Linked DNA regions of Nothobranchius furzeri. The protein of the gene in region 4 purifies or fractionates together with the protein of the main gene of each other region. This does not show direct contact. Links are inferred from orthologs where the notes say so. Each region holds a gene or a part of one and is shown on either strand. Other genes may lie near its edges. The genes, in order: nploc4, klhdc3, toporsa and ubxn7.

Region 1 (8,217 bases), on a different chromosome or scaffold from region 4:
GTTCCCACAGAAGATGTTGTTCCCATAAAAGTAGTCATAACATAACAAGTCTTAAAACTTGGTTTCTTGATTTTAATGTTAAAGTAATCATCAATTTGCTCATTATAACTGTGTTTTAATCAAATGAATGGTTCTTATGCTTTGGGTAATTATAATGGATTAATGAATCCATACTTAAATAATGTTTGAGGATGTTTGTTACTGACCTTCACACACACTCAAGCACACAAACACTCACACACACCCACACACAGATTCTCACAGTAAACTCCAAACACATTTGCTGACGCACACATTTGCTTTGAGAAGAGAAAGGTTTTTGGTAAGTTTCAGTCTTGATTTCAGTTCGTGCTTGACAACGAAAGAGAGAGGACCTGAATAAACGCTAAAAGGGGGGAGCCGGTTGGCTCGTTTCTCCCCCCCCCCCCTCACGCTGTTCCTGTTAACCAGACAGGACAGCTGAATCGCAACTTCTAACGCAGACTCATACAGTGTCTTTGATTTCTGAGTGAATTAACTTAAGAAAACGCATCGACAAAACGCTTTACCATCAACATGTACCGAGGGCAACTCTGGACCGGTTCCGTTCGACACCTACGTCTCCCCTGTCAGCCGCTGGTGTCATCTGGATGAACCACCACCATCCTCCACGGCCCGGATCCGAAAGAGGGTCCACAAGAGTTCGGTGAGACAGAGCACGGTGTTTAGCGTTTGATGCAGTTCTCTGATAAGACCTAAGTTTATCCAAACCATCACTTCACTCAGACACCTGTTCTTCCTGAAGCAAAATCAGACTCACACACGCATTCATATCACAACATTCTCAATCTTCATAAATTCACCACAAGGTCTATTTGATCATATCAACTGTTAAAGATTGTCCCACAAGTTGCCAATGTTGATTGTTATTTCCTGTTTGTCAATTTCAAAATCATTAGTTTAATTTGAAGAATTAAAACTTTTAATTGTCAAACTGGTTTCCTCATTGAACTGAAACACAGACACACAGATATTATCGTCAGTTTATCGATGAAAACAACCTTTGAGTCTTCATAACAATATAAAATTTGGTTATTGATTTATTAAAATTAATAATCCGAATTAATACGTAGCATGGTTCCTCTTTCATAAAAGAGCCTAAAACCATAACGCTACAAATATGGCTGAGACAAACCAGTTTCTCCTACACCTTTAAGCGCCAAAGTTGCAATACTGCGACAAGTGTCATTACTGACTTTAACGATCCACAGCTACAAATACAATCCCTCATGAAATTATTACTTACACCAGAAGATAGTGGAGATATGCAACTTCAGGCTGAGCTATATTTATGAGTGTGTTTATACTGAAAGTTTCAGAGTTTATAGGGTTTGAAAACTGCCTCCCGCTAAGAGGTTACCGGTTGGGGAGAAGACGAGTGCACAAAGAGGGTGAATGTTAGAGGGATAAAACTTGTGATTTCCGGCAAGTCTGGTCTTTGTTGACTGATATCTTTGTCTGGTCATGACTGAGTCCGATTATGAAGCAGAATATCGACTCTGATGAAGAAATTCACTCATCCAGCCGCAAAGATTGACGCTGCTGAACAGCTAGTGCTACACTTACAAATTCCAAACGTTGGGTTTGACGTTATATATATATATATATATATATATATATATATATATATATATATATAAAAGATAAACAATGAAATTTAAATTTCAAAGAAATTCATATATGTATATATAAATTGAAAAATTCAAAATATGACATTTTCTAAATACCATGAAAAAATAAGAAGGAACATCTGTAAAAATGATGCATTCCAATACGGCAGCCCGATGACGTCATATTATGCAAATTAGAAGAGTGAATTTTGGTCCTACTGAAAATGTCTCTCATTTACAGTTTACCTTTATCTCTAACCATTTCCGAGCTACAACCTTTTGAAAAAGTCATGTCAAAATTGAACAGCTTCCTGAAAAAACTCTGGCGCCTAAATGGTTAGTATATGGTTGTAGGAAATCACTTTTGAAATCAGGGTGTTGTCGTTTAAAATAAAAACTGCAATGTTTTTAGTAAAACGTGCATTTATGAATTTACTTTCCATGTAAAAATGTGTTGTTTTCCACAGATGTGGCACAACTGAATGCTGAAATTCAAACCCTTATGATTTCCAGTTTAACTCACTTGATCTTTAGCAGACTGAGGGTTTTGTTCTGAGACACAATCTCTCCGGTCTTGTTGCGGTTTAGATAAACAGAGAACCCATTGGAACTGAATCCAAACTCTTTGGCCACCTGTAGGAGACATAAATGATCACATACCGTTGTAAAACCTTAAAGTTGGTTAATGTATTTAATAGTCTGTTCTAGACACCTGCTGAGTGAAGGCTGCTTGTGATTGCTACAGATCACTCAAAGCAGATTAATCAAAAGTTTTTGAGGTGTCCAGCTGGTTTGCAACAACTGATGAGTACACTGAGCAGGTTGGAGGTCCTGCATCCTAATAACATCCCATCATTTAGGAAATCTATCTGGATAACATCTTAACTAGCATATTGTAAAAAAATAAATAAATAAAATAAATCTTTGAGATCAGGATGGACAAAAATCACAAGAGGCTGTTGACGCCACTATGTTTAAATAAATCCCATTCATCATCTCTTTCAACAGCTAACCTTCAGTGCCCAAACCATATAAGCCCCCCCCCCCCCCTCCCAACACACACACACTTGTGTTTTTCTTTTCCACTGATCAGGGACAAAGATCTGCTCCTCCCATTGATCTGAAAACTACACTCTCCTGCGGCAACACAGTAGCATGCATTTTTAATTAGATAGTGCTGCAACGCTGCTGGAATTCTGATCTATTTCAGGCTTTCAAAGCCAACGCTTTTAATTAAACTCTTATTATTGTGGGTGCTTAAGTCAATCAGATAACTAAATAAAACCAGAAGAAAATTAAAGGCCAAGTTGTGGTAGTTACCAAATATGTCAATCGGTCTTAAACTGTGTGAAATGTCAGCACTAGTAAATTAAACCCCAAATTAAACCTGCCCTGTCTAGCATCAACTGGATTCCCTGAATGGAAATTTCCCCACAAGCCTTTTGTCAATACCCGGAAGCCATGAAAGCTCACAGGAGCTGTGCAGGACAGACCTGCTCTGGTACTCTCTGCATATCTTTAGTCAATTTATCTTAGTCTGTGTTTGTGTGTGTGTGTGTGTGTGTGTGTGTGTGTGTGTGTGTGTGTGTGTGTGTGTGTGTGTGTGTGTGTGTGTGTGAGATTACAGGCTTGCCTGTAACTCACGTGTTTGGTAAAATTCCAAATGTTTGCCAGCAATAATTACTAAGTGATTGTTTAAAAAAGCGTAGCATGCTTGTTTATTCATTTTGACTTGTGTTTTTGTGCTGCAAAATCTTATATCCACTGAATCCAAATGAAATGAATAAGCATAGGTTGTAGATTCGAGCCCTGCTCAGTCTGACGCTGTTGTTGTGTCCTTGGGCAATCACTCAACCAACCTTGCCTGTTGGTGGTGTTCGGAGGGACCGGTGGCATCTGTATGGCAGATTTGCCTCTGTCAGTGTGCCCCAGGGCAGCTGTGGCTACAATGTAAGTGTGAATGTGTGTGTGAATGGGTGAATGACTAATTTTTTTGTAAAGCATCTTGGGGGGTTCCAGGACTCTAGAAAGCCCTATATCAAATATCAGGCCATTTACCATTTACCAACCAATGTCATGGGACTTACTGACATTATGTGTTTGCAAAAACAGTGATTTGGTCAGATTATGTCATTTAGCAAGAACATTTTATCCAGTAAAAAAAAAGTTAGCCAATTGAAAATCGGTTACCAAATATTTATCCACTTATTTATACTGTATAAAGACAATTGTGATTAAAATCTAGTTTGTTTCCATTTTGCCACTAACAACAAAACACTACACACGTAAACACCAATGAAAATTATGTGTATGTTAACTTGTTTACCTTCTTTAGAAAGGCAGCTGCCGTTTCTCTCTTGGTGGAAGCAATTTTCTTCATCCCATCTGGGGACTGAATCCTGACTATCTAAAAAAATAAATAAATAAGGCTTAAGTTAAACTTTTGTCTGAGTTTCAGCTAATCATAAAACCAGGATGTCCCAGAGTTTCGGAATGAAAATCAGTGAATCAAAACATTTACATTTCTCCAACTTTTGTCCCTCTCAGATGACAAGGACAATGAAAAAGGTAGCGTTAAAGCTTGGTTATACGACTGAGTTTATTAGAAAGTATTTTAAATCTATAACACGGAGATTAAACTTATCTGATACTTTTTGTTGGTTTGTATACAGCCAACTGATTATGTATCTCTAAAATTACAATAACACTCATATAATGAGCAGACGATAAAATACTTATTCACTCATTTAATTTATTATTGAAACATCTAGGCTCAAAAGGCTTTAAGGTTTACAGCAGACCTGTTTTAATCAGGATATCGTAAGAAGGAGCTAAGCTCGGCCAGTTATCTGCACAGGCCGCAGTCACTCTGTGCTAACGTTAGCTAACAAAGCTAATTCTGCTGCCTCATCCCGCAGGACTCCGGCTAGCTGCCGTTAGCACCATTAACACCACAAACTATTATACTTACTATATTATCCGCCATGTCGCCTAACTGAAAGTCACTGGTGTACGTCCTTGTGCTGATAGACAAAAACTACAAAAGTCACGAAGCGTTACTGGCTGACTGTCAGCGAAACTCCATCACAGAACTCTAACACCGGTGTAGCACACTATAGTGTCCGACAGTTCACCCCGGCTGAAACAAGTGAGCCTGAAAACATGGGTTCCAATTTGTGTCTTTTTTTCGACAACCATTAATTCAATCTGTCCAGTGATTTTTATTCTAAATATTTTCTGTTTAGTTTAGTCATTCACAGGCAGTGAATTTAATTGTATTTGGATTCAATTGGAAACTGTGAAAGAGAGCGGAAAGTAAGAAGGAGGACAGCAATCAAAAACGCACATCATTTCAAGTTGCACGTAATAACATTTTGCAGCATGCAACAAATAGTTTGGGTGGTAAAACAGTAAAACTTAAAACAGACAGGACTTATCAGAAAGGTTATGTGAAATGCATACGTGTAGGAAAATGAGCACCAAAATATTTTAACAAAAAGATACAGAAACACTGATTGGGCAATTAGTAATTAACCCATAGTACACAGTAAAAACTGGTTAAAAACGTTGAAACACAGTACAATGTCTCTCCATTTACAGCAATGAATGTGGTATTTTCCCAGATGGAAAATCATATTCATCATATCCGAAATATTAACTTGCAAGTCAGTAACAACAGAACATGTTAACAAATAAATTCTGAAGGTTAGGAATATTTAGACTCAGCCACTCCATATTAGCAAATCAAAACTTATTAGAAACAGCGCAGTCAAAAAGAGGTGATCTTCTAATCTAAGGTGTTAAGCATTTGAACCATTTATGGAAGAAGATAGTAAGATGAAATACTGTGGTCAAAATTGGTTACCGCAATCACTATCTTACTACTGTCTCGTGAGTTTCATGGTTGTTGCAGTTACGGATCATCAGCACCAGAAGATTCTAACAAAGACTAATCATACACAGTTGATAATATTGTTATATCTGGTGATAGCACTCTTGGGTGTTTTACATTGGGGAGCATTTGCTTATACACACCCAGCATTGTTTTATGTTTTGTATGAAAACACATGTAGAACTAATGTGCATCACTAAATTGACTTAATCGAACCAGACACAAACTAGAGCAGAGGAAAAATGCCTGTAAGTTTAGCAAGCTTCAAATCCTTCTTGCAGAAAGAACAACCATAAATCTTGCCATATGGTACGCTGAGATTTGGGGTGACATATATGCAAAGTGCCAACATCTGATTTGTAGTCAAAGTAATTACAATTTTTTTTTACAAACTGATAAATCTCAAAGAACGTGACAGGCGTGGTTGAAACACTTGCAGTGGTGGCTTGTTATCGTGCTCTGAGGACGTGCACTGATAAAAGTCAGATCGAATCTTAAAGTTCTCACTTTTCTCAGAATAAATCATCAAGGCTTAAATTAAATGATTTCAACTGGTTTTAAAAGAGTTTGGCTTGTTATAGAAGGTTCTTTAGCACCAACCTGTCCAGTTACTGGTGAACCTGCTTATGAGCAACAGTTGTGACACAGAGAGAGAGATGACTCTGAGGAACATCACAGACTCTCACCCTGAGCAGCTTTAACCCTTGAGTCTTTATTGTTACAGCATTTTCTCCGCCATGTTCTTCTCTATACTCTGTGCTGTTCACTGTCATTTCCCAAATCTCCCGTCTGGTTTCATGGTCTTGGTCCTGTCCACAAAGATGCGCGTAATGGCCAGCACAGGCTATGTGTCTTAGGCAACCAATGCTATGTAACATCCTTGTAGTCCAGTGGCTAGAGTACCTGCCTGGTCACTTTAATCGCTGGACTACTAAGTCAACAGAAGACTCTAGGTCCATTTTGTCAGAGCGAGCATAGGCGGAGCTTCACTGAAACAGACCGTTTCAGTTCCGGGTATATATTCAGGCGAACAAAAAAAAACCCCCCTCATATTTAAGATAAATTACATCTCAATAATATTTGATCATATATTGAGCTTACCTTTGCTCTCAAAGGCATAAAATAGCACAATCTGGCTCCTTTAAATGACATTTAAATTTTAAGGTGATCCCCCTTTATTCTGAGTGATCAAAGATGACAATATTCAGCAGAAATGTGCTTGCATGCACTATGTAACCTATGTGGTTTACTTTGATGACAAGCTTTTTTTCTTGTACCTGACTATGTTATATATTTTTTATTTTTTTATATGTGAAGTGCTTTGTGGTTTTTACCTTGAAAGATGCTATGCAAATAAAGCCAGGTGTTGAGGCCTCCAGTTCTAGTTGCCTGCTCTGTAGCAGGAAAGTTGGAGAACTGATCTCATAAACAGCCAAATCAAATAAAGTTTGATTTTATGGAAAACCTCATTACCATCATTTTCAAATGAGTTAAAGTGTTATCTTTGTTTAATCAACATATTAGAGAGTTTTAAAAAAAGCAACAGTCCTTAAAATTCTCTATGTTAGAATATTTACTGACATTCTGAAGTAAGTACATGCACAGCATAAACAAAATTAAAACATTTAACATTGATTTCAAATAGCTGTGTTTTTAATTTTATTTGTGCATGTGGGATTGAGGGTATGTTCTCTGTATGTGTGGTAGTATTTTAATAATAATAATCAAAACAATTCAATTAAAATAAAAATGTTTTCCTCCGCAGGAGCCAGAAGTATGGGTTGTTAGTTCCTCAGACTTTGTAAGGGTCTGAAAGACTGATGTTGTGCTTCTTGTTTTACCCGTTTCCAGTTCAGTCTTGACAAAGACCCTACTGATGGGTTGTCTCCAGTAGATGGCAGCAGTGAGTCACCACAAAGGCAATCCAAGTGTGCGTCTGAGCAGATGCCTGATCAAAATGTAACAGAGCCACGTACACACGGTCTAGTTGTTAAAATGAATTTTAAAAAAGGACAAGCAGTTGCACTTTTTCCAGTTTTCAAAACAAACAACCTGCTATAAATATTCACGGTGTGGGGTGATCGGCAGTGATGGATTTAGGCACAGATCGTATTTAACGACGCAGATTGTTTTAGTGTCCAACATCATGAAAGAAGTAGATCTTCAACGCAACACCTCTGAAAGTCAACTTCTAGAGAAGAAACAAGACATTAATTCTGTCGTTGCTCCTCAGCAGAAGGATGTTCTTATAAAGCAAACATCTGGTGGGTAAAATCACAGATTTAATGAGTCTTTAAGAGAAGTAAGAGAAGAAAACAGCTAACTGTTAGCTTAGCTTAACGATGCTAAGAGAAGCATTCAGATAAACAAGAGCTCGTCTTTGTCGTTTATTTTAATATAAATAGTTCATAAATGCTCGATTTTTTATTCTTTAACATTCGTCCAATCTTTAACACCTACAATAACTTGTTGACAGCTAGGAAAAGCAGCAAGTGTCGCCCCAGATCATTATCAGCGCACACAGTAGAATTATGAGTTATTTTGGTGTCGTGATTAAACCCTCAACTCTTTTTGTTTCCTGGTTTGTGCCACATGATCATCCCTCTACCATGTCCTCCTGCCTTTATGTTCTTTTAACGAAACTTTAGGCAAACATCTGGAGATCATTTCCCAGAG
Region 2 (8,112 bases), on a different chromosome or scaffold from region 4:
ATACTAAATAGGGGATTGAGGAAGTTGACATCAATCACACACACACACACACACACACACACACACACACACACACACACACACACACACACACACACACACACACACACACACACACACACACACATACACACACACACACACACACACACACACACACACACACACCAAAAGGTTCTCTAAAGATAAACAACTGGTTATTTAAACTTACTCTTGCATTTATTAATGACCACACCATGGTGGTGGTATCCAGCCTGTGGATGTCATTGGAGAAGCAGTCAGCCTAAAATAAAAAAAACAAGAATCTGTTCAGTCCCCTTTCACTCTAGCCCCGGGTTTCCACGGGAGCCGTCAGCAGCGCGTTACTGCAGCAGCACGTCTTGCTCGCGTAAGCTGCTGCTTGGCCCTTCCCACGAGACGCGAAGCAGCAGGGGAGCAGCTGTCACCGACCGAGCACGAAGTCACACGAGTGACTTCGTCAGTAAACACAACAACAAGCAGGAGAAAACTACAACATGGTTTGTGTTTTATGTTCTGTCCGTTTTATAATCGCCAATACGGACCTGAAAAACAAAGGAGACCGCTAGCTAGGTGATAACTTCTCACGGGGCCGCACAGTTAGCAACCTTTTTTAAAAGTAAAGCAACCGGAAGGCAGTACGTTCTTTATTCTGAAAATCTCGGGAGCTTCTCTCCATTTCCGCGTCCGATTTCCTGTCTTTCCTTCCCCAAAAATGTCGAACTTGACCCGTTTCAGAGGCGTCGCGCGTAGAAAATAGAACCGGCGCGTAAAGGCCGCGACATGCTGCTCCTGAGACGCGGCCGACTCGCACTGCTGACGGCTGCCGACGGCTCCAGTGGAAAAGGTTCTGTTGACCACAGCGGTTCCTATCAGCAGCTATGACGTGCTGCTGCAGTAACGTGCTGCTGACGACTCCCGTGGAAAGCCGGGGTAATGCTGCAAGGCAGGCCCAACACTGAAGAGTGATAAAGACTTACCAGCTGTTCATACCCTCCAAATATATACATCGTCTTCCCCAGGACACAGGCGGAGTGGCCATCTCTTGCCCCAGGAACTGCCCCTGAAATCTTGGGCGTGTACCATCTGTGGGTATCTACAAAGCACACACGAGACAAAACCATCACACCCATGCAGACGTTCTAGCTCTCAAACTTAAAAACCAGGTTTAGCTAACACGATCTCCACATCAAACAGCACCTGAGAGGAAGCCCAGCCTGAAACCATCCTTTGACAGCATGAGTGAGACGGGGCTCTACTTACTAACATCAAAGGCATAGAGTACATTGCAGGCCCCCTCTGTGTCGTTACGCCCACCCCAGAGGAAGATGGTATCATCCAACAGCACAGCCGTGTGGCCGTAACGCATGTACGGTACTTCGCGGGCACGTTCGTGTCCTCCTGTCCTCACTGGAGGCAGCTTTGTCCAACGCAACGACACTGAAATACACAACAATCAGAAGTTTGCCACTGCCGCAAGCTTCTTTAGAGGGGATCATCACAACATGTCTAATAAAAATATGAAATGAATGAAAAATTAAAATGGATGTTGGAAAAAATATTTTTACTCGTCTGTAAAAACCTGTGGGAAAAAATGACTTTCATCCCAGATCTCAGGAATAAAAACTAACACAATCCCTGCTGTAAAATCTACATCAAAGAGAAGGAGAACAGTGTGAAGTAGAGAGAAACAATAGTTATGGTGCCGTTTCCTTTACAATCAGCTGAGGGGCTGGTTCCACTGAACTTTCTTCTTCTTAAGAAACTGTAACAGCAGGCAGGATCAAGCTGCCTGAGAAACGGTAAAACACCAAAGAGAGCAGCTGGCTGGCCACACACGGGCAAAAAAAACGAGTGTAAACGGGTTACGAGAAGAAAGAAATGAGCGGTTTTGTAAGGATCAGGGTGGAATGTTTACAGAAAAACACCTGGTTGTCACTTAGCTACTGAAAGACGTCTAACAGGAACTATTTCAGAAACCACATTGGGACGTTTGGAGTTGAACTGCACGTTTCTGCTGTGATGAAGTGGTACAGCTCTGTATGAACTTCCAGTCTCTCAGATTTTAAACTATTTTATCAAAAAAACCAAACAGATTTTTAGAAATTAAAGCTGTGGTTTCTTAAAAACCAAACAGCAGTCTTGAGACTCATGTTTTGATATAAAGTTTTTTTTTAATGGGCTTTTGACACAATTACATAATAAAAATGACATTAGGTGCACAAACTCAGTTGATTTTACCAGTGTGTGCACCTGTTTGGTAATTTGATTGATCGTGTTGTTTTTTTTTTTTACCTGTGTTGAAAACATGCACATCAATTTGACGCAGTGTCTCGTAGTCCTCCCCGGAGCAGTAGCCTCCGAAGGAGTAGACCTTGTGTCCCACCGCCACAGCAGCATGGTTGACTCTCCGCGGCCCTCCTTCTAGGTGCACCGACCAGCGCAACATTCCACGCGCGAGCACCTCTGCGTCCCCGAGTCCTTACACCATCACTTGCTGACCCACTTGGACCCCATCAAAGCTCGTACCATTGAAGCCTGTGATCGAAACAACAGGAGGTGGAGCAAGAAGAGCAAAATGTCACACAGCCAAGAAAAGACCAAAGAGTAACAAACTGTTCTCTTGGCTCGTTCGGCTCTGCTGTTGCTGACGGGCTCGCGAGCCCCAGTGTCTAAGCTGGGAGGGTATTTTAAGAGGTGACTAGACCCACACCTACAAGTTCTTGTTCTCTCTCTTCACTCCTCTTTCAGCACCCTCCCACTGGCCACAAAAGTTGTTTTAGGAACATAAAAGCGCAAATCCAACCCCTAAGAGGAGCATTACAAATGAATGTGTGATGTCCAAGTCAACTCACATAAGCTGAATATTCATTTGACCTTCAACAACTCCAGGTTGAGGAATGGGAACCTATTCCACAGCTGTGGAGCCACGTTGATGTGGATGCGTATGGATCTTCCACACGCTTTTAAGGTCCCTGACAGTATAAAACAAATTTGGTGTAAAATTAGACAATGTGTCTTGTTTTTTGTTGTTATTATTAAGGGAAAATGCAATCATCCAATCCAGAACAAGACTGAATACCAACAGGAGAACATTGCAGGGCATTTGAACACATTTTTAAAGGTGTACCCCACACTTTTTGCTGAAGAGCTCACGCCGCAGAAATCCAATATTTACAAGTTGTTCCTCGTACTAAAGGTGACTAACCTGGATTTCCGGTGATTGCCAAGAAGCACTGTTGCAACAAATAAAATCAACCCAACAACTTGTCTGTGCTTCGCTTAGCACAGACAGAAGCTCAAACAATCCTTTGCTTATCTTGGCAGTTAATTTTGCACGGTTATACAGCTGTGTAATATTAACTGCCTGGAGAGTTATTTGCAAAGTAAAACACCAAAAAAAGGGCATTTCTTAAAAATAGACGCAAGAGATTCAAATTTATTACCAGATGGATATTCCTAATCTGAAGAATAATGTTGACCAAAACAAGATGTGGTATTCAACCTATGTTTGATTCAAAAGAACCTTTTGAAATAAACCTTCATCCTGACGTACGCTGTGCTTGTTTATTTATTCCTTCAGGACTCAGTTACTCACTGACCTTCAACCTTTTGTTTCTCTTAAAAATACCCCCCCCCCTCCCCCCAGCGGCTACTATTAAACTTAGATTCATTCTATTTTAATCCCAGATATTTCCGAGGAGCAACAGAAGCCAGAACAACCTAACCCATGAGAAATATTCGGCTTAATCCACTTTGTTAGGTTTGAGTTGTGTTGCAAACTTTCAAACCTTTAAAGCAAACCAGACGTTTCTGTCACATAAAACACAACAGCACATTCTGTTAACATTAACATGTTAAAGTGCTCAGTTTAGATCCAGAGATAAGAACAGCCTCTACTATGCTGACCTACTGAACAGGTTATTGATAATGTCAGGTATGCTAGCAACCATGACAGTGACATCTAAGAAAACCAGAAACCACAATGGTTCTATAACAAACAAACAAAAAGGCAAATGTAGCACTTATACTGTCAGTTCAAATATGCAAAAGAAGGACACATAATAGCTGATGTACCCAGAGCTGAAGACATAAGAGCTGTAACAGTGAAGACCAGATAACACATCGGCTAACTGGCTAACGTCATCTGTCAGGGGTGGCAGAGAAACGTCATCAAACCGCGAACGTGGCTTGTCTATCAATATAAATTTCGTTATTACAAAATCAGCTGCAGTCTAGCAATCTGGGAGCTCGGTAACCACCCAGCCGTCTGACAGCTAACGCTGAAGGAGAAACTGTTGCTAGCTGAGCTAAAGCTAATAGCTGTTAGCATAAACTGTATGGAAACAACCGGCGACTCTTAGAAGAGCCCCGCTTATTTCGACCCATGTCGAAAACAACAAACGGCTCAATCAAAATGAAGTGTTGTAGATACATAATTTAACTACCTTTAGGTTGAAACGCCAGTGGTTAACTGGTGTTTAGGCAGCAGAAGTATCCAGTGTGGAGATGTCAGAGGGCGAGAGCCGCCGTCAGCGCCCCCTGGCGGATGTTTCCATCTATTTATGTCTTAAAGGGACAGTACAGATTATTTTGAGTCGAAAATAGAGAAAATAAAAGCATTCAGAGTCATTAGACTCAAGTAGAAGTATAGCTACTAAAGTCTAAAGAGACTTCTGTAGAAGTAGAACAATCAAATAAAGCATCTGACTGAAAGTACAAATGGGCTGGTGTTTCAATTGTATTAAAGTATTACAGTAAAATGTTTATGTACAAAAGCTTAAGCCGTCCCACAACCTGTAAACTAACCTGTTTAACTTACCTGGGGTCCATGAATCCCCCCAAGAAGGTCCCCATAAGATTGCAGGGAGACCCCACAATTCTGTCTTTTCTAAGATTGTGAATTTTACCAAGATAATATCTGTAAAATTCAAATAAAACAGAATATTTTGAATCAAAATGAGTAATTATAATGCAATTAGAGTAACAACATGAGTACTTCAGCACGTTAAGGAAGTATTTCTATTTTGTTACTTGGCACTTTTGTATATATCTTATTTTAGAACTTTAGTTTGGTGAAAAAGAAATCAGTGCTGATCAGAAAGATGAGCTAGTGGCCAGTCTGAACCAGTCAAAATGTGTTTTTGTCATTTTAAAAGACAATTTTGTTCATATTTTTAATAAACTGCAGGAATGAATGTTTTGCAAGTTGATTTCTGGGAAGAAAAAAGCTTTGGTATGCTTGTTTGAGGACGTAGTAGTCAAAAGAAAGAAAGTAGCTTCAGACGGCAGGAGTCTTATTTCCTGATATTTGGACATCTTGACTTGGATCGGCTAACAAGAACACAACTCTATCACTGACTCTGTTTACTTTGCTACACTGATGTTATAGCTCCTCAAACAGTACAAGCCTGAAGGAGATTTGCCAGTTAGCTACTAGCCGAGATGTTCTCTGCTCTTTCCTGGATGGTAAACCAACAACAACCTTTCCTGTTGTGAATCAAGATGGGTGAACCATGATTTTTAAGTGACAGCAAAACATAGATCTGTCAGGCTTTTCTGAACTGAGTGTGTTTTCATCGGTTTTCTAACAGAAGCTAATGTAGGTAATAAGGGTAGAAGGCTAATTTCTCATTCAGCCTGCACGTTAAACTCAGAGTGACTGATCATTTCCAAAGATGATACGTTAAAAATGGGTTCTCAGTGAACCTGCTCTTTGAAACAAATGCAATCTTAAAAATTTCATAGCATTTCATGTTAACGCTATTAATAAAGCATTGCATTTATTTATGTAAAATGTTTTCTTTAACATAGAATTGTGTGTTTGCAGCACAAATAGGTTAGAAATTCCAGCTTTCTTTTTCTGGCAGGAATTTCATGATCTTTAGCATCATGACACACACACACACACACACACACACACACACACACACACACACACACACACACACACACAGAATAAGAAACTAGTTTTTCTCTCTTTCAAAATACGGAACTGAAAGTGTTCTAAGATCTGCAACAAGATTAAAACCAAAACATGTTATTAAGAATTAGCCTGTTGAAGCAGCTAATGTTTGAGTAGTTTCAGATTTGTTTTTGCACGTCCAACAGAACACGGCAGTGACTCAGCTTACTGTAATTCGTCTACCATGACTGACGGACAGTTCAGTAACCGACTGGTTCAACCAGACCATCTGGGTTCTCTTGCAGTAACCTTTTCCAACCCTCACTGGCAGCCACTACGCTGATATCAAACTATCATTTTCTATCAGAACAATAAAGGGATAAATAATAATTGTATGGTGTCTAGTACTTGACCCAAAAGGGGAGTCAATAAGTGAGTTTAGGATTAAACTAAATTGTATGTAATGGGGTTGATATAATAAAAGTTTCATGACTTCAGTTTCAAATTAATTCCATGTTTTACATAAAAACATCCAGGTCGGGGGAGAGGTCCTACCTCAAGTGGAGGAGTTTAAGTATCTCGGGGTCTTGTTCACGAGTGAGGGTAGGAGGGATCGGGAGATCGACAGGCGGATTGGTTCGGCGTCTGCAGTGATGCGGACGCTGAGCCGATCTGTCGTGGGGAAGAGGGAGCTGAGCCAGAAAGCCAGGCTCTCGATTTACCGGTCGATCTACGTCCCAATCCTCACCTATGGTCATGAGCTTTGGGTAATGACCGAAAGAACGAGATCGCGGATACAAGCGGCCGAAATGAGTTTCCTCCGTAGGGTGGCCGGGCTCAGCCTTAGAGATAGGGTGAGGAGCTCGGACATTCGGGAGGGACTCGGAGTAGAACCGCTGCTCCTCCGGATCGAAAGGAGCCAGTTGAGGTGGTTTGGGCATCTGGTCAGGATGCCTCCTGGACGCCTCCCCGGGGAGGTGTTTCGGGCATGTCCTGCCGGCAGGAGGCCCCCGGGTCGACCCAGGACACGTTGGAGAGGTTACATCTCCAATCTGGTCCGGGAACGCCTTGGGGTCCTGCCGGAGGAGCTGGTGGACAAGGCCGGGGAGAGGACGGCCTGGAGCTCCCTAATTGGGATGCTGCCCCCGCGACCCGGACCCGGATAAGCGGAGGAAGACGAAGACGAAGACGACAAAAACAAGGTCATTTCTCATGGTCCTGTTAAATTGTAATTGTACAAAACCTCTAAACTGAGGAAACATTTTTTTGTTGAAAATGCTGAAACAAAATCACTTCTGATCAATTAATTAGATATTAATTAATCAATTAGTTAGACAACAATTATTTAATTAATTAATTGAGTGTCTTGAGGGGCTATAAGAAGACACTGTACAAATTAAATTAGCTTTAATTTTTTCAGTGACAATCTGTGAAACTGCTGATTCAGATAAATGAAATGCTGCAGAACTGTAGCTATTAGGAAGGGAAATCTTCTGGTTCATCAGCCCCACCAAGAAATCTTCTCACCAGACTAGAGTTGCACCTGCATCCTGTTTCTCTTTAATCCCTCCTGTAGCAGATCCTCTCAGTTTAACTTAGTTATTTAAGTAAAATGTGTAACTAGTGGATTTCCACACATCATTCCACAATCCACATTAATGTAGTTCACGTGCAGCTGTGGGGCCACATGTCTTCATTTGAACACATTTCAGCTAAATTCCATAAAATGGTACAACTCTGCCACCTGGTGTTAAAACTGGGAACTGTTGCTTTTCTGATTCACTTCTGAAAAAAAACTTTCAACTTTGATTCTGCTGCTGCTTTTGAGATAAAAACTCAAACTGTGTTTAAACACAGTAGAGTTCTGTCTGAACTTAAGTGCAGGATTAAAATGTTTTGTTTTTCTTTAAACTCTGTCTCTGAGGAGCTGGAGCAACCTGGAAACCTCTAGAACTATTGGGTCTACTCACGTGGGAGTGTCTTCTCAGACCCCCGGTTAGCCGTGGCAGACGGCTTCAGTTTTTTGGAATAATGACCAGGGGCCTCATTTATCAAGCTAGCTTACACACAAAACGGGGTCGGAAAACTGCGTAAGCAACTTTCCATGCCAACTTTGGGATTTATGAAAGAGGACTTAGCGGAAAAATGTGCGCAACTTTAAGTTGACTAGGACCTGGCTTACACACATG
Region 3 (8,292 bases), on a different chromosome or scaffold from region 4:
GTGAGGGTTGGACTCCGCCAGGGCTGCCCTTTGTCACCGGTTCTGTTCATTACCTTTATGGACAGAATTTCTAGGCGCAGCCGTGGTGTGGAGTGTGTCGAGTTTGGTGGCAGGAGAATCTCGTCTCTGCTTTTTGCAGATGATGTGGTCCTCCTAGCTTCATCCAGCTCTGACCTTCAGCTCTTGCTGGGAAGGTTCGCGGCCGAGTGTGAAGCGGCTGGGATGAGGATCAGCACCTCCAAATCTGAGACCATGGTTCTCGACCAGAAAAGGGTGGCTTGCCAACTCCGGGTCGGGAGAGAGGTCCTACCTCAAGTGGAGGAGTTTAAGTATCTCGGGGTCTTGTTCACGAGTGAGGGTAGGAGGGATCAGGAGATCGACAGGCGGATTAGTTCGGCGTCTGCAGTGATGCGGATGCTGAGCCGATCTGTCGTGGGGAAGAGGGAGCTGAGCCAGAAAGCCAGGCTCTCGATCTACCGGTCGATCTACGTCCCAATCCTCACCTATGGTCATGAGCTTTGGGTAATGACCGAAAGAACGAGATCGCGGATACAAGCGGCCGAAATGAGTTTCCTCCGTAGGGTGGCCGGGCTCAGCCTTAGAGATAGGGCGAGGAGCTCGGACATTTGGGAGGGACTCGGAGTAGAACCGCTGCTCCTCCGGATCGAAAGGAGCCAGTTGAGGTGGTTTGGGCATCTGGTCAGGATGCCTCCTGGACGCCTCCCTGGGGAGGTGTTTTGGGCATGTCCTGCCAGCAGGAGGCCTCCAGGTCGACCCAGGACACTTTGGAGAGGTTACATCTCCAATCTGGTCCGGGAACGCCTTGGGGTCCTGCCAGAGGAGCTGGTGGACAAGGCCGGGAAGAGGACGGTCTGGAGCTCCCTAGTTGGGATGCAGCCCCCGCGACCCGGACCCGGATAAGCGGAGGAAGACGACGACGAAGATAGCTCCTTTTGAATTTAGTTTTTGGATTCACAACATTTTGAAAGTACTATGTTTGTAAATTTACCAAATAAAGTTCTTTTTTTTTTAATTAATGCAAATCAACGGGGCTAAGAGTAATTGTATAATCCGCTTTGCCTTATGCCCTAAGTCGCACATATGTTGTACTTCAATTTAAATGAACATTAGTGATGGGTGTTTTTGACCACGCCAGTCACGCACTTTGAGATTTACCAGCTTGTAAAAGTTCATAATTAGCATCACTACAAATCAGACATCAGTACTTCGCATTTATGACATCACCACAGAATCTCCTCTCCCCTAGCGGAGCTGTTATTTACCACATAGCCAGATTTATGGTGGTTTTTTCCTCCTGAAGCAAGGATTTGAAGTTTGTTGAACTTACAGCCATTTTCCCTGTTTTTCTCCGTGTCTGGTTCAATGTCGTCACTTTCGTAATGCACATTTTTAGTCCTGGACTTATTTTCACAAAAAACCTAAAATAACGTTTCCCTCACGTTAGAAAATAAGCTCTTTATTGGCGTCAAAGCGCGTCTTTAAAAATCACTGACATCATATGTGAAATCAATGACTCATAACAAACAGAATTAGAAAATTGCATTTTCAGCCCCTTTGACTTGTATTCCTATTTTTATTCTTCTGGGGACCCGTGGTCCAGAGGGAGATGGGCATGACTTTAGCTCCCTGTAATGCTCTAATTGTATGGCACCCCATTCCTGCCATTCTGATAAAACCAAAAATAAAACACCTTTATTTCTTAATTATGAGATAAAAAGTAATTTTTTTAATTAGTGGCGGGAATAGGCTTCTGTCAACTGGCGCGTGAATTAAGAGAAGACTGGTTAAATAACTCCAGTTTGCTTAAAACTTTAAATGTTATTAATTAAATATTGAATTTAATCTAAAAGTGGATGGAAAATCCGATCTGTGATGAGAACATTTTTTTAGTTTCAGTTAAACATGCTTCTATAACTTTTTGTTTGTTTTCTTGCAGACCTACAAAGCATACAAAGGTGGAGTTTTCACAATCACACGTCTGCTCCTGCCTGGCTGGATTGTTCACTACTATGTGAAATATCACGTTGCTGTAAGTTTCCCCAAAAGTTTTGCAGTGTTTGTAGCACGTTTCTCCACCTGGTTTTCACTCATCCATTAAGCAGGATAGGACTAGACTTTTTCCTGTGTCTTCAGTTGTTTCTTGGCTATAATCAGACAGTCTCACTCAGTTTATGGATTCAAGTTTAATTTGTGTGATCAGTAGGATTACTAGCTAAAAGGTACATTTTCTCCACAGACAAAACCATATGGGATTGTGGAGACGAAACCCAAGCTTTTACCTGTGAGTATAGCATATATACTAGTTCTGAATAATACACGTGTGTTATTTTAATTAGCTGTTTTCTGTTTATGTGGTACAATCATTGTCTACCACTGACGTCATTGACTTGCTGTCTGAGATGTTTAATTGACCTTTCTTACAGGGTGACACCATTCTGGAGACTGGCGAAGTGTTACCTGATCTCCCAGAGATCCATGGCCATCACTAAATAAAAAAAAATGTGATTAATTTTTTTGTTTTTCTGTTGTAAAAACTGTATATTACAATAAAATATTACAAAATTCTTCATGTCTGACTGTAATGAGTGTGGTGTTGGGTTTTAACTGGAAGAATTTCATCATTTATTCCAGGACTTTGTGCTCATGATAAGATTTAGTTTTGTGTAGCTTTTCTTTTTAATAGGTTTTTAAATTATTATGTTGCATGAACATTTTAACATGATTGGTGTTTATGAGGCGGTCATAAATCAGTTTATGAGGTGTCGCAATTAGCACCGTTACCTCGCAGAGAGACACTCGCAGGTCGAAACTGCTGCTGCACCTTTTCTGCGCAGTTAGTACTCACCCCCCTCCTCGTGTGTGTGAACCTGAAAAGTTGTTTAATTGTAATCATGTTTTTTACTGATCGTGATTGAATTGGATTAATTTGCATCTTAGGTTTTATAGTCTTTAAACGGTCTCAATTCCATTCATGCTAGATCAAATCACACTGTTAGTTATTGTAGTCTTACAGACATCCTCAAAGCCTGGTTTTAGTGGAACTTTTTCACTTGAGTTATAAATAAAACCGGAAGTGTCTAAAGAAGTGCTCTTATTTTGAAGAGCGGAAGTGTTCGAACGTTGAAATTATGAAACCGGTGGAAAGGAGGTGAAACGCTAGCTGACAGATGTTTACTAAAAAGTGGATTTATTCATGAAGGAAACTCCTAATTCGTTGCCAGTGGTGTGTATGTGTGTTTGTCAAAGTCGCAGGTAAATATCTTACAACTCATTAACGGACTCCTTGCCGTCGTGTCATAACTTTAACGGCACCGTGCTAGCTAACGTAGCCACCTTGTGCTAGCTTCAACCAAAAACCCAGCTATAATCTACAGTTAGCTTTGTTCTGCGAATAAGAATATTTTTATGACTATTTGTTGAGGTTGTTTATGTTTTCAAACTAATCCAACATTAAATTTTCATCAAATCAAAACGGGATCGTAACAACGTCAGCATTCACTAAAACACACAACAAATGTGCCGAAAGACATATTTAATACGTTTTCTTGCGTTTCTATTATCTTGCCAAATATAAGAGCCATGTCTTTTTAGGTTGTCTTTCTGATTGTCCCGTTTAGTTAGTTTTGACTTATTTGAAAGACAACCAAAAGTTACAGCTCCTTAAAAGACAAAATATGGGCTGTGACGGTGATAAATGTCCTCTAGAGTAGAAATCTGTTCAGGTTAACGAGAATTGTTTGTGTTCATTTTCATATTTTCATAATGGGGCAGAAACGTAACTTTTAAATGCATCGCACTTTTCGCAGAAAAAAATCACGAAGTGCTTCACAGTAAAAATAGAAAATACGAGGAAATAAACAAGCAACAATTATAAATAAAATAAGGCAAAGCAAGTTTAAAAAGCCAAGTCTTTAAAAGTTTCATAGTTTATTTTAATCAACAACTTTTTCCATTGTTTATTACTAAGATCTATGTAAATCTGTAATAACACCAGCCCTGTGAACTTAGTGAATAAATGATTCAAACATAAAATAAATTCCATAATTTAATCATAGATGGAAAGCGGTTTATATATTTTTGCTGTTCTAGTTACTGCGTTTTATTCAATCAGCCTGCTTAGGTTGGCTTTATTGGTGTTTAAAGTAAGAGCTTGTATTTTGAAGATCACTCCAGCTTTTTCTTCTCTCCACATTAGATCATGTCTGCAGTCCAGATTGCCCTGCAACACAACCAGAACAGTGCCAGAGGTAAAAACTCTAAAGCGATGTCTGGAGAGGCATCGCCAGACTCCAAGTGCCCCATTTGCTTGGACAGATTCAACAACATTTCCCACTTGGACCGCTGCCTGCACAAGTTCTGTTTTCGCTGTATCTTGGAGTGGTCCAAAAACAAGGCCGAATGTCCGCTCTGCAAACAGCCGTTTAGGTCAATCTATCACAGCGTGAAGTCAGATCAAGACTTTCAGAGGTATGAAATCAAACAGCAGGTGGAGAATGCCTCTTTTGGCTATTTTGAGGGAGTGCGGTTCAGATACCGAACAACTTTCACTGGAGTTCGAGCAACGAGACGAACCTCTCCTCCTCCAGACAACGGAGTCATGTTCGAAGCCGCGACACGCCCGACCCTGGAGCAGCACCGAGATCATTACATTCGACGCATGATGACGAGGTTGGAAGCCAAGAGGCGAGCTGCGAGGGAAGGCAGGGCGGTGAACAGTGTCAGAGAGCAAGAGATGATAAACTTCAGGAGGGAACTGTACCGACGGGGTGTGAGGGTTCAGAGCGTGAAAGATGGCGGTCGGTCCCGAAACACCTCTGCTGAGTTTTATCGAAGAAATCCAGCCTGCCTGCACAGACTGGTCCCCTGGCTGAAGAGAGAACTGATGGTTTTGTACGGGGCCCATGGCTCTTTGGTCAATATAGTTCAGCACATCATCATGTCACGCATTACGCGTTATGATATGGAGGATGGAGCGATCCAGGGAGAGCTCAGACCATTCCTGCAAGGTCGAACCGAGCACTTTCTACACGAGTTCCTCAGCTTTGCAAAATCCCCCTTCAATATGGAGGCCTATGACCAACATGCAGTCTATGACTGCCCCGCCCCCTCCGGAAACGAAGGCAGCAGCTCCAACTCATCTGTGATTGCTATCTCGGAGGATGAGGATACCTTTGCAGAAGTGGATCCCCCAGGGGAACCTACTTCTCTTAGCCACTCTCTGTGGGACGACGAGACGCCTGGACCGTCATATTCCACTTCAGCCGAGCAGAGAGAAGCAACAGCGATGACACCTTTGAACTTGGACTCAGATATTAGTTCAGAGGAGGAGATGCAAGAGTTTGAGGCTTCTCCACACCGGCAGAGCTCACATAACCCAGCTGGCGTGCCTCAGAGTAACCGCAACGAGGAAGACCGTGTGTCTTCTGACAGCGAGGACTGTGTCATCATAGGGTTTGTCAAACCGACAGCAGAGAGGACTCCTGAGCTGGTTCACCTCTCCTCTGACTCGAACGAGTCTGAGATTGAGGATACTGAAGAGGCACCTCTCCCGCCCCATCACATCCGTTTCACCAGTTGTAGCCCTGCAGCTTCACACAGAAGCGGCTCTGTCAAGGTGGGACAAAGCCCAGAAACAGATCGCCATCGTCAGTTGGATTCAAAAGAAAGATCTTTAACCTCCAGAACGCACAAAACATCCAAAAAGCCAAACAGTAACGAGAAAAACAGGAGATACGACAGCAAAGATAGAGTGAAAGATCGGCATAAACCAAAGGACCGAGAGTACCGGAGGAAAAGGAGAAATTCAAAAAGTAGAGAGCGCAGGCTCTCAAGCAGAAGTCCAGAGAACTCCAACAGCAGCCTCAGTTCTCAGTCTGCTGAAACCGATTCTTCATACTCCCGTGGCAGAGACTTCTCCAAGTCTGGCCCAGTTTATAGAAGAAAGGACGGGGACCACAGCTACCAGTCGTACAGCCATTACAGACGAGATAAGAACGGTAGCGTGACGCGTTACACTCACAGACAGTCCTACTATTACAGTAGCAACAAGTATTCTCACTCTCGCTCCAGAAGCCGTAGTAGAGATTCACAGAGACGGCACAGGAGGTGGTCCCAATCCAGAAGTTGCTCCAGCTCCCCTTCAACAAAACGGAAGTCCCATCACAACAAACCAGGTGGGAAACGAAAATACAAAACCAGGCATTTGGAGGATTCATCCAAAGACCTACTCCAAGACGCGCGTGCTGACGGTGACCCAGAGTTCTCAACAAAGCACAAGAAAAAGAGCAAAGAAAGGCGTCATAAAACATCCAGAAGGAGCAGCTGCAGCGTGGAAGACACCAAGAACAGAGAAGAACGCGACCGAAGCAAGCATCACCATAAGAAGAAGAAGAAACACAAGAAAACCAAAAGGCACAAGCATGAAGCGCCAAAATCCAAGAGCTCACTGGCTGTTATCACTATCGATAGCGACTCTGATTCCGTCTGTACTTTTGCTAAAAGCATCCTCACTGATGAGCAAGCTAACCCCCGAGCTGAGGACTGATCCTCACCGGGTTTGACATTAGCTGCCAAAGCTTGACAACAATAATCCTAAATATTTTTTGTTGATGTTCATCAGCCCACGACTAAATGGACTTATAATGAAAGGTCCAGTTATACTCTTATCATTTCACTGTATTTATGTACCAACAAGCCCTCAGTGCCTCAGTTTGCTTTTGTTGTTTAAGATGACAACGTTGTTTTATGGTAAACATGTTCCTGCCATCAAGGTTGGGACAAATCATCACATTTAATCTGGTTATCCTTAGTAGAAATTAATTTTTATATAAAATTCTGAGATTTTTTCAGGGGAAAATGTTTCTTCTTATTGCAATAAGTCAGCAACATTTTATTGGCAGCTACTTCTACCTGCCTCTTGATGTAATTATATTTTACTGATGCTATTTAGATTTTAAAATGGGCTTTTGTGGATTTCATTTAATGTAAGAATAAATATATATTGATTTAACATGTTCTCAGTTTAGCTGGTTGTTCTTCCAAATATTGACTGATGTTTGTTTTATTTATTTTTGAATTTTCTAATGTTATGGGGGATTGGGAATCAAGCTTTGAGGTGGACAGTTTTAGATTCATGCGTTACTGCTCTGTAACAAAAAATTGTGATGTTATGCAAAAGAGGAGGGGAGAGAGAGAGAGAGAGAGAGAGAGAGAGAGAGAGAGAGAGAGAGAGAGAGAGAGAGAGAGAGAGAGAGAGAGAGAGAGAGAGAGAGAGAGAGAGAGAGAGAGAGAGAGAGAGAGAGAGAGAGAGAGAGAGAGAGAGAGAGAGAGAGAGAGAGAGAGAGAGAGAGAGAGAGAGAGAGAGAGAGAGAGAGAGAGAGAGAGAGAGAGAGAGAGAGAGAGAGAGAGAGAGAGAGAGAGAGAGAGAGAGAGAGAGAGAGAGAGAGAGAGAGAGAGAGAGAGAGAGAGAGAGAGAGAGAGAGAGAGAGAGAGAGAGAGAGAGAGGTGGGTTGGAGTTCCTCAGGGGTAAAAAGGTTGGGAACCACTGCTAAAAAATGCATGGAATACTTCATGTGACATTATTCTCCCCCAAACAGTAGGGGGCAGTCTACCAACGATTTTTTAAAAAGGTGCTAGAATTCCACACTAATGAAGATTTTAATCATTTACTTCTACTAGAATAATATCTTATTTAAAGCCATAACCAAGGAAACAAACGTGTGACCTCAGAGACAGAAAATCTTCAAACAAATTCAGCCAGAGGTTCTGGAAGTTAAATTACTTTATTCTTTAGACAAGTTACTTGTTAATTTCTAGGAGTACATTGCACAGAAAAGCTGCCCAACAAAACCTAAACATGTTTGACCAACAATAAATAAATGTAAAAAAAAAGTTTTCTGGTTGGGAGCACAGAGGCAGTCTAGGTCACATGATCACACCGATTACTCACCACTTAAGGTTTTCTTCCACTTGGTTTTCAGGAGAGATGCATTTTCTATAAAACCATCAAAATTAAGTAGCAAAGTTAAAATACTGCATTAGCAAACGGAGTGAATACTAATATCTATGTTTATGGTAAATACACAAGTTTTTCTTCCCAATTATGTCTTTATATACTAAAAATGGTTAGACTAGTTAGTGATCAGATAAGGACGACTGAATCCTCAAACTATTAGTAGCACTGCAACTATTATTAACCTCAGTTCAATTTATTTAGAAAAGACAATTTCACAGCAAATGTCACCTGAATGTTTGTTTCAACAAGTGAAATCA
Region 4 (8,176 bases):
AATTAATGAGCATCAGACCCACATGACAACAGAGCTAGCTCCGTGGAAAGGCCTCAGTAGAGCCTCGGTCTGGCTTGGAAACTGTTCCGGGATTTTGAGTCTCTGTGTCTGTGTATTCTGCTTTGGATATTTTTTGTGCAATTGTTGGACAAAATGACTTGCTGTGGCATTAATTGCACTAATAGAGCGTCCAAGGAGTCTCCACTTCATTTTTTTCGGTAAGTAAAATTATATTTATGTATTTAGGTCACTGCCGAGCTGAGCTTAGATTTTAACATGTACTGTTTAACCATGAAATTTAAATGTAATAGGGTAAACCCAGTGCATTTAACATAATGCTGCACTTTAGAAAATGGGTTGAAATATAACATGTTGGTGGAGCTGGGTTCCGACTATCGGCTTGTGGAGCTCTTGGGAGACCGATGTTTTCCACCCGGTTCTCCCCGCAGCTCGACGCATCTCTGTCTGATCGCGGCTTCTGTCTGCTGTGCGGTCTGCCGGCTTTCAGCAGCTTTCGGGAGACCTCTGTGTTCCACCCGGTTTTACCCAGCAGTCAGCCCGGCGTATCTCTGACTCAGAAGCTCTGGTGTTGTACACAGTTAACTCCGGTTGTAGCTAGGTTGCTACCTCCATTAGCTTAGCTCCCACCTCCTCATTAGCTTTGGGTTAGCTTCAGGTTAGCTTGTAGCTAGTTCGACCGGGTGTCGTCAGTTGATCCCAGCCTTACAGCCCCACCCTCAGCCCCACCCTCTTCCCTTTTGTGGAATTGTCTGGGCATGACGGAACCTGTGACACGGTCAAAATGGCGGTGGTGGCCACCTCCCATTTTGGCACAAAAATGTGTTATTGGAGTCTATGGAAATGAATTGTCCAGTATATATGTCGATCGTGCGCCCCAGGGCAGCTGTGGCTATGATGTAGCTCATCACCATCAGCATGTGAATGAATGAATGATTCACTCAGTGTGTTTACATGCACGTCTAAGTCGATCTAGGTTTATCTACGATAATAAGCTGGGAGCTTCTACCCTAGTTTACACGTACGTTAGAAAACCGACTTCCCTTAAATGTCGGCATTCTTCCGGTTAGCTTATAGCAACACAAATAGTAAACACATGCTGGTGGGAGTGAAGCAGACAGGGTAAAAACAGGAAAAGCATAACGACTGAAGGAATGAACAACAATGCTGCAGCAAAGCTTATTTGGATTGTACTCTACTGTTTGACGGTGTGTTACTTTGTGGCATCGATATTATCAGGAGAACGCTTCTGCATTCTCGTCACTTCCGGAAGTTACCGTTACAGAGTGACTGAGCCCTTTACCTGCAGATGAAGTTGGGTTTTAACCACATTATCTTGGTGCCTCAGCTCGATTAGAACCAGTTCACCTTCTCAAGACCAATGGGTTCGATGCACGACCATGATCTCAGAGCTATCGCTTTGATAACCTGACACACGGGAGGCGACAAAAGCCAGCGACGTGCTCTATTCCAGGGCGAATAGCAAGTCTTCCGTTGTTTTGATTGGCCATCAGAATGGAGGGAATGCTGAATTATTAAAGCAGTTCAGATTTGAAAAAGCTGTAGATGAAAGGTCTCACAAGGTTTTGGTAGAGTTAAGTGAAGTCTTACTTCTGGTTTAAAAAAGAAAAATATGTGAATGGGTTCATCCCATATATTACAACAGAAAAAGAAACAGTGAACACCATCATTTAATGATGCCGCTTTTTTTGTAAAGATCTCTGTACTCTTTTGCTGAAAAGTTGTAAAGCTCTGGGAAATCTGACATGACAAGTATTAACTTTTCCTCCATGTTTGCCCGGGGATGTACCGAGAAGCATCCTGTCCGCACACTGGTCAGTCAATGAAACCTCCGCTGATTGGTCCTTGTCCGAGCGACAGCGACGAAAAGTTGAAATTTCCTCAACTTTCTGGGATTGCGTCGCTGGTTCACCTGTGCACAACACATGCTTAAGTGCAAAATTTCACATGTACGTTTCACGCATGTCGCTTAGCAGGAGGGAGACCCGTGATTATCGCTTTGTCGTGCATGGCTCAGTAAAAATTACTGGAGAGGCAAAATGGCCTCCCATCCTGTGTGTCAAGCCCATAGTACATTTACATACTTTAAAAAAATGTCTGTCTATTTAGAGCAATAGTTTGGTCTTCTGATGCACATGTAAACACACTAACTGTAGAGTAGGGCATTTTGGAGGTTATTTATCATATGTGAACATCTCTCCTCTGATTCGCTAACACAATGCCACCCTTCCACTGCTTTCGTTTGCTTTTCTTTCTTGGGTTAAATGCAACGTTGATGTTTTATCTCCACAAATAGCTCAAGCCTGAAGGAGTTCTGCCATGTTATGGAGTTGCTAATGCTAAGGGATATCTTCTACTAGTCAAGACATCCATATCAGCCTTCCTTGGTACCGAGCCCAGATGGGTGAGTCCATGAATGCTTATTTTAAAGTATGATGTAGATCTGAGTAGCTTTTTCAGAGCTGACTGTTTCCCTGTCTCTGTTCTAACGGAGGCTAATGCCGGAAATGAGGCAGAAGGCTCATGCTCAGCCTGCATGTGAAACTCAAGAGTGAATGATCATATAGGTCAAGTAAAAACCGTTTTCCAGTGAACCCGGTCTTTAATTTCACTATAAAAAGTAGGGATGTATTAGAGGGCGCAAGAGCGCCGCTGTCAAAGTATGTTTACTGGGCAACCGCAGAAGAAATGAGCTTGTCACATGACCAAACAAATGAGCTCAAACATGAAGCGGTTAGCAAAGAGCAAAGCGTGGGAGTAGTTTATTGTAAGTTATTTTGTTCTTGGAACACAATAAGCCTCACATCAAAGCCTGGCAGAACATGGCGCAGCAAACTGAACCGAGACCAGCAAATGGTCAGTTGGCCATGACACTTCTGCTCACGTCTGACTCCTAATTTGTCCAGTAAAATTAAGAAATCAGTGTAATTATTTAGTTCAATGTAAGAAAACTAAAGTGTTTTTCTTTTTAAACCGTGGCCTCCAGAATGCGCTTATAGGCAAGCAATTGTAAACAGCGCTGTGTATGTAATGCTAGACTGTTTGCTGCGGAACAAGTTCTGAGTCTGACGGACTTTTTGTTCACAAATGTAATGATTGTGGTACTTCAGCTGTGCATCTGAATTGTATTAAAAGGTGTAGATGGAAAAAGCATTATTATTTATGGCTCAGGGGCAAATGTTTGTGTCATTTGTTTACCACCACCATGGTAAATCTGTTCTAATTACATATTTAGACATGTTCTGTGTATTAGCTAAACACACTTTTTAGAATTTTTTTCATTTTTCTTAGATTTCATTCTCCTGTGAGATATAAAAGTAAATAATGTTTTATGTTAAACACCAACTACATTTACTTACTTACTTACAGGTGCAAAAAATAATTCCCCATTTGCCAAAAGTGAAATAATTTTATCTAATAATATTAAATCATTGTTCAATTATTACACTAATATGTCAAATGTTTTTTTTTAAGAATTGAAAGTCCAGTTAGAATTAGTAGTATTTTATTTTTTTATACTACGCTGGTTGTTTTTGTAGACTGTCCTTTGTTTAATTTTTTCTTCTCTGTTTTAATGTTAAATTGCCTTTTTAAATCAATTGTGTTGTGAAATGCGCTTTTAAATTATGTAATTCTCATATAGATATTTATTGTAAAAAAATATGTTAAACGTGTTTTATTACTGAAAATACTCGAAAAATAATCTAATTAGAAATAATATTTACAACCAGTATGCATTTATGCATCATACTCGATAACGACAGGACTGGTTAAAAATCGTAGATATGCTGAATGTTTATTAAAAGACAAATTAAAGCTCAATAAGCAACAAATAGTTTTCATAAAGTAAATATCCTTTTTATTTTTATTTTTTGTATTCATTTGTGCCTCAGTCAATTTTCGATCGAGCATCGATTGGATTGGTTAAAACATAGAACACCTTAGAATAACCCTCAGCCGCCATTAAATCTAATGTTTTTAATTTCTGTGAAAATATAAATATATATTTAAAAAAACGTAAAACAAGTTAAGTTTACATCGTTTTAAAAGGATTTATATCCTCGGAAGAACGATCGTTCCGCCTTTACTGCGCATGACCGTTTCACTTTCCAAGTCTGCTATCCCCTGAGCTGAGTCCACTCTCCTCTATTCTGATAAATAACTTTAAATTTAAACACCGTCCATCGCATCAAAGTGCTCATAAACTATTTAGTGCCTCCGTACCAACATTTGACACGGTAACTACTATCTATCCGGGAGAGGCTGGTGTCAAAGTGACAGCGGAGGGACAGTAACCCAACATGAGGCTGCTGATGAAGAAGGGGAATGTTGTACGACGTCCGTTCCACACAGCCAGAAAGCAAGCAGTGTGAAAAAAATAACAAAAATACATGAAATACTAACGAAATTGTGTTTGGAATTATCATCACGAGGACAATAAAAATGAATTGAGTTTGGGTTGAAGACAATATGTGTGCCTTATGAATTTATGCGCCATATTCCGAGCGTTTGGTCAGAGTTTAGAAAAAAGATACCTCTGCTTTTCCCTTCTGCAAAGCACTGACAGCGTAAGAGCAGGACTGTGCTCCCGTTTTCTTTACCTGCGCCCTCATTACGTGTTTTGTGGCAAAATGGGCGGTCCTCTATGAGCACACAAACCAACTTAATATTTAGAAAGCTAAATAAAATATTATATTTACCTGTTATTGCTGTGAATTGTTGAATTAACCCGTTCACCCCCGGAGCTGAGGTGTCTCCGAGCGCCGCCATCTTACCGCCAGAAACAACAACATAGACGTGACGCATGCGCAACGCCGTCTTTTCCAAACGTCTGGCGCGACGGAACGATGGATTGTGGGTAATGTATTTTAAAATCAAATATACGCCAATTCATTATTTGCACATGATGTAGGATTAGAAAAGCTATGAAATGTTATCAGAGACAAAGATAATATTTAAAATTAATAAATTAAGTAGTATAAACGCAAATTTAAATGAAATAACGCATAATGTGATTTGTTTACAGCTTGAAGAAGAGGAAAATCAAACTTCCAAATGTGGTCGCATTAGGTGTATTAAATGAAACTCTGCAGACTTGATTCATAAGTAGTGTCACTTTAATATTTGCATAATACATTCAGTTTGAAAACAGCATCAACTGAGTCCAAAACATGGACTCAGTTCAACAAGGAGCTGAAAGCAATTTTCATAAAAGTTCCTTTAGTGACCAACCAGCTTTTTTGGTGTGTATGTGTGGGGGGGGTTATTTTCAGTATTTTACACGAATCCATTGTGCTGCCAGCCATAAACAAAACAGTAAAATATCACTTTACAGGGGCAGGTGATGATGGTATATGGGTTTTCTACATTGTGAGATTCTAATCTGTATTTACATAAATAATTGTTTGACCAATTTCAATACACTGGATATAAAATTACATTCATGTCAGTAATGTATGCTTCTATTTATTGGGTTGATGGTTCATGGTACATAACAGGTAATAATTCTTACACTGGAAAGAGCTTATGGTTTTCTGATACAAACCAACATTTCATGTAATTTCATCACCAACTGAGTGAGATCAAATATTAAATCAGACTAATTACACAGATGAACACTGGTGCAGTGGAATCTGCTGAATCTGTCGTATACATCTAGGTGATCTCATCCCTGAGGGGGTAACAGGTCGTAAAATTTGTTGCAGGTAGTCTCAGGTTGATTTAAGCAATCTAATAGGGTAAAAAAAAACTAATTTAAACTTGATATTTGTAAGCAATCCTACATTGTTAAAGCTGAAACATGTTCAAATTGTATGCCAAACAGAGAGTTTATCTTACAATAAAACAAAAAATCTTTTGAGGAAGTCCAGCCAAGACTACAAATTCTAATTTAGTATAGACCAGGTTTTAAGTTTGTTGATAATAAGCGACGACTGTAATCAGGAAGGAGTTAAAGATAAAATAGTAAAATCACTGATTATCCATGTTTTTGGACACATTCTCAAAAGGGGTTTACCTACAACAGAAATGAGTCATCAGCTATCAGGTTTTAAGGAAAGGAAGCAGCTGGACAACAACAAAAAAAACATGTTAATTGACATCCATTTATTTTATGACACATTAGTAAGAAACCTTTATGCTAAAAACTGGTCATTCTGCAGGTAGCACTCTTCTAAGTTACTGTAAATCAGCATAGAGTTGATTTTTATTTTCCATTAAGGTGTTCTTTGTGAAGAACTGGGGCCAGGGCATTTCTGAGAAATATAGTAGAATCCAGGAGTCAAACAAATTTAGATTCTACTTTTTCCCTTTTACATTTTCCCTTCAGCATTAATCTTTAATTGTTCTTATTGTGACTCACAAGAGCAGCATCAAACCCTTACATAATTTTTATGACACTGGAACAACTTTAAGAATTTGTTCAACAAAAAAGGCTTGTTTCTTTTACCCTGATGGGAACCCTAATTGTATCCAACATGCAGAACAATAACAAAAACAAGTGCAGAAAGGAGAAAAATAAGCAGATGTGAGCATATGGTAGACTTTCACTTTCACAGTTCCAACCATAATAAATAAAAGCATCAACACAACAGCATAAATGAAGGTTTGAATGACTGCATACATGCATTCATGTATGGAGAGTGAAGAATGGGGTGAGTGTTGGAATGTGTACACGGTGAGAGGATGACATGGAGAGGCCAAAGTGTTATCAGGAGCTGTTTTTGTAAGCAGGGCAGGCAGGGAGGGAGGGAAGGAGGCGAGGCGAAACACAAAAAGGTGGGCGGATGGGTCGTACGCTGCGCTTCAGAAGCGGATAAAAGTAGCGTCGATCTGGCGCACGCTGGGCAAAGCCAACATGATCTTTCTCCGGTACTGAGGGTCTTTCTGTAGCGGGTTTCTTTCTAGGTAGACCGTCTCCAGAGACTTGGCGTTCTTCAGCTCGTCCAGATCTGACCAGTTGTCTATCTGATTATCATTCATCTGAGGGGGGATTTAAAAAAAACAAACACACAGCCATCAGCACCAACTGAATCAACACACACACACACAAAAACATTTTTAAACTCCTTCTTCAGAGGCGTTTAGGCAGATGCGTGATTTATGGTTTTCCAGTTTCAAGTGCGCTGACATTCAGTGAATCTTCACGCTGCCTGCGCTACGTCTGCACCCTCCAGCCTCAAAGGTGGGAGGAGAAATAAACACTGACCTCAGAGCCTGTGGCTACCCAACGACCAGCAGTAACGCGTGCGTTAAGCAGCGCGGTGTGTTGAAGCTGTCATCAGCTAAAGAGGTAGATGTTTTCATCCAAGCGCATCACGGCCCGTGAAGAACGAGGAAGAGGTGATGAATAGTCTACGGCTGCAGGTGTGGATCTGCAGCCGTGCCCTTCTGAGCGTGACAGCGGGACGTCCCGAAGGTCCGCTCACCTGTTCACCGCTCAGACGTCCCGATCTTCTACCTTCCTAGATCATCCAGCTGTAACCTGTTCCTGATCATGTCTTTAGTCCCGCTGTAACACTGATGCATCAGTCTCAGATGGCATGGAGCTCAGGTGTTATCAGAACTACCTGTGTGTGTTTACCACCCAGCTGCAGCTCTTCTGTGGTTGGGTCTGACCCAAGTTAGTACATTTAAGTCCTCCATCAGATTTGTGCCTCTTCTAGTGTCATTTTAAAGGATTTTTATTTATTTATTTAACCTTTTCTAGATTACCAGCAACAGAAATGCTACTAATAACACACAATTATGTGAAGCTGGAAAAATTAAAATACTGTACAACATTACATTTATCTCAGTAATTTAACTAGACTGAGAGACCATTTAAAGGCTCAGGAACCTTTACAGGTGTTTCTATTTGCAATTTTAAATTTTGACTGATTGGGGTCTTGTTAAATATCACACAGTGACCTTTTAATAGTCTAGATAAGTGTAATGTTCCTGTTAGTAGTTCCTCCTGTTAAGTGCTTATTTATTTAAATTATTCAGGTTTATAAAAGAAAGCATTTGGACATACACTTTATTATGTTCCAGGCATTAGTCATTTATATTTCACTATTGTAGTCATTTATAGTAAATAAAGTAAGTTTAATTAAGAGGGGAACCCATTTTTCTTGTATTCTTTAACGAAAAAAGTAAC

Evidence for each region.
Region 1: the proteins of ubxn7 (region 4) and nploc4 purify together in Homo sapiens (affinity purification with mass spectrometry; 3 studies listed by BioGRID and IntAct, with this or other methods). This does not show direct contact. The link is inferred for Nothobranchius furzeri from reciprocal best matches to the Homo sapiens genes UBXN7 and NPLOC4.
Region 2: the proteins of ubxn7 (region 4) and klhdc3 purify together in Homo sapiens (affinity purification with mass spectrometry; 3 studies listed by BioGRID and IntAct, with this or other methods). This does not show direct contact. The link is inferred for Nothobranchius furzeri from reciprocal best matches to the Homo sapiens genes UBXN7 and KLHDC3.
Region 3: the proteins of ubxn7 (region 4) and toporsa purify together in Homo sapiens (affinity purification with mass spectrometry; 4 studies listed by BioGRID and IntAct, with this or other methods). This does not show direct contact. The link is inferred for Nothobranchius furzeri from reciprocal best matches to the Homo sapiens genes UBXN7 and TOPORS.

The regions. Positions count from the first base shown.
Region 1 is NC_091756.1:53,432,466-53,440,682, forward strand, and holds the start of nploc4 (nuclear protein localization protein 4 homolog), read right to left. Parts: upstream 4,771-8,217; 5' UTR 4,636-4,770; coding exon 4,621-4,635; intron 4,057-4,620; coding exon 3,976-4,056; intron 2,283-3,975; coding exon 2,173-2,282; intron 1-2,172. Other genes in the region: gastrula zinc finger protein XlCGF57.1, read left to right, coding at 7,688-7,805. UniProt on the Homo sapiens protein: The ternary complex containing UFD1, VCP and NPLOC4 binds ubiquitinated proteins and is necessary for the export of misfolded proteins from the ER to the cytoplasm, where they are degraded by the proteasome.
Region 2 is NC_091752.1:2,827,369-2,835,480, reverse strand, and holds the start of klhdc3 (kelch domain-containing protein 3), read right to left. Parts: upstream 4,580-8,112; 5' UTR 4,467-4,579; intron 2,557-4,466; 5' UTR 2,468-2,556; coding exon 2,314-2,467; intron 1,459-2,313; coding exon 1,282-1,458; intron 1,115-1,281; coding exon 999-1,114; intron 284-998; coding exon 212-283; intron 1-211. UniProt on the Homo sapiens protein: Substrate-recognition component of a Cul2-RING (CRL2) E3 ubiquitin-protein ligase complex of the DesCEND (destruction via C-end degrons) pathway, which recognizes a C-degron located at the extreme C terminus of target proteins, leading to their ubiquitination and degradation.
Region 3 is NC_091746.1:80,960,191-80,968,482, reverse strand, and holds toporsa (topoisomerase I binding, arginine/serine-rich a), read left to right. Parts: upstream 1-3,134; 5' UTR 3,135-3,273; intron 3,274-4,216; 5' UTR 4,217-4,219; coding exon 4,220-6,565; 3' UTR 6,566-7,030; downstream 7,031-8,292. Other genes in the region: ndufb6 (NADH dehydrogenase [ubiquinone] 1 beta subcomplex subunit 6), read left to right, coding at 1,958-2,050, 2,258-2,302, 2,445-2,510. UniProt on the Homo sapiens protein: Functions as an E3 ubiquitin-protein ligase and as an E3 SUMO1-protein ligase. Probable tumor suppressor involved in cell growth, cell proliferation and apoptosis that regulates p53/TP53 stability through ubiquitin-dependent degradation.
Region 4 is NC_091751.1:53,570,779-53,578,954, forward strand, and holds the start of ubxn7 (UBX domain-containing protein 7), read right to left. Parts: upstream 4,810-8,176; coding exon 4,740-4,809; intron 1,952-4,739; coding exon 1,829-1,951; intron 1-1,828. Other genes in the region: ppp1r7 (protein phosphatase 1 regulatory subunit 7), read right to left, coding at 6,844-7,020. UniProt on the Homo sapiens protein: Ubiquitin-binding adapter that links a subset of NEDD8-associated cullin ring ligases (CRLs) to the segregase VCP/p97, to regulate turnover of their ubiquitination substrates.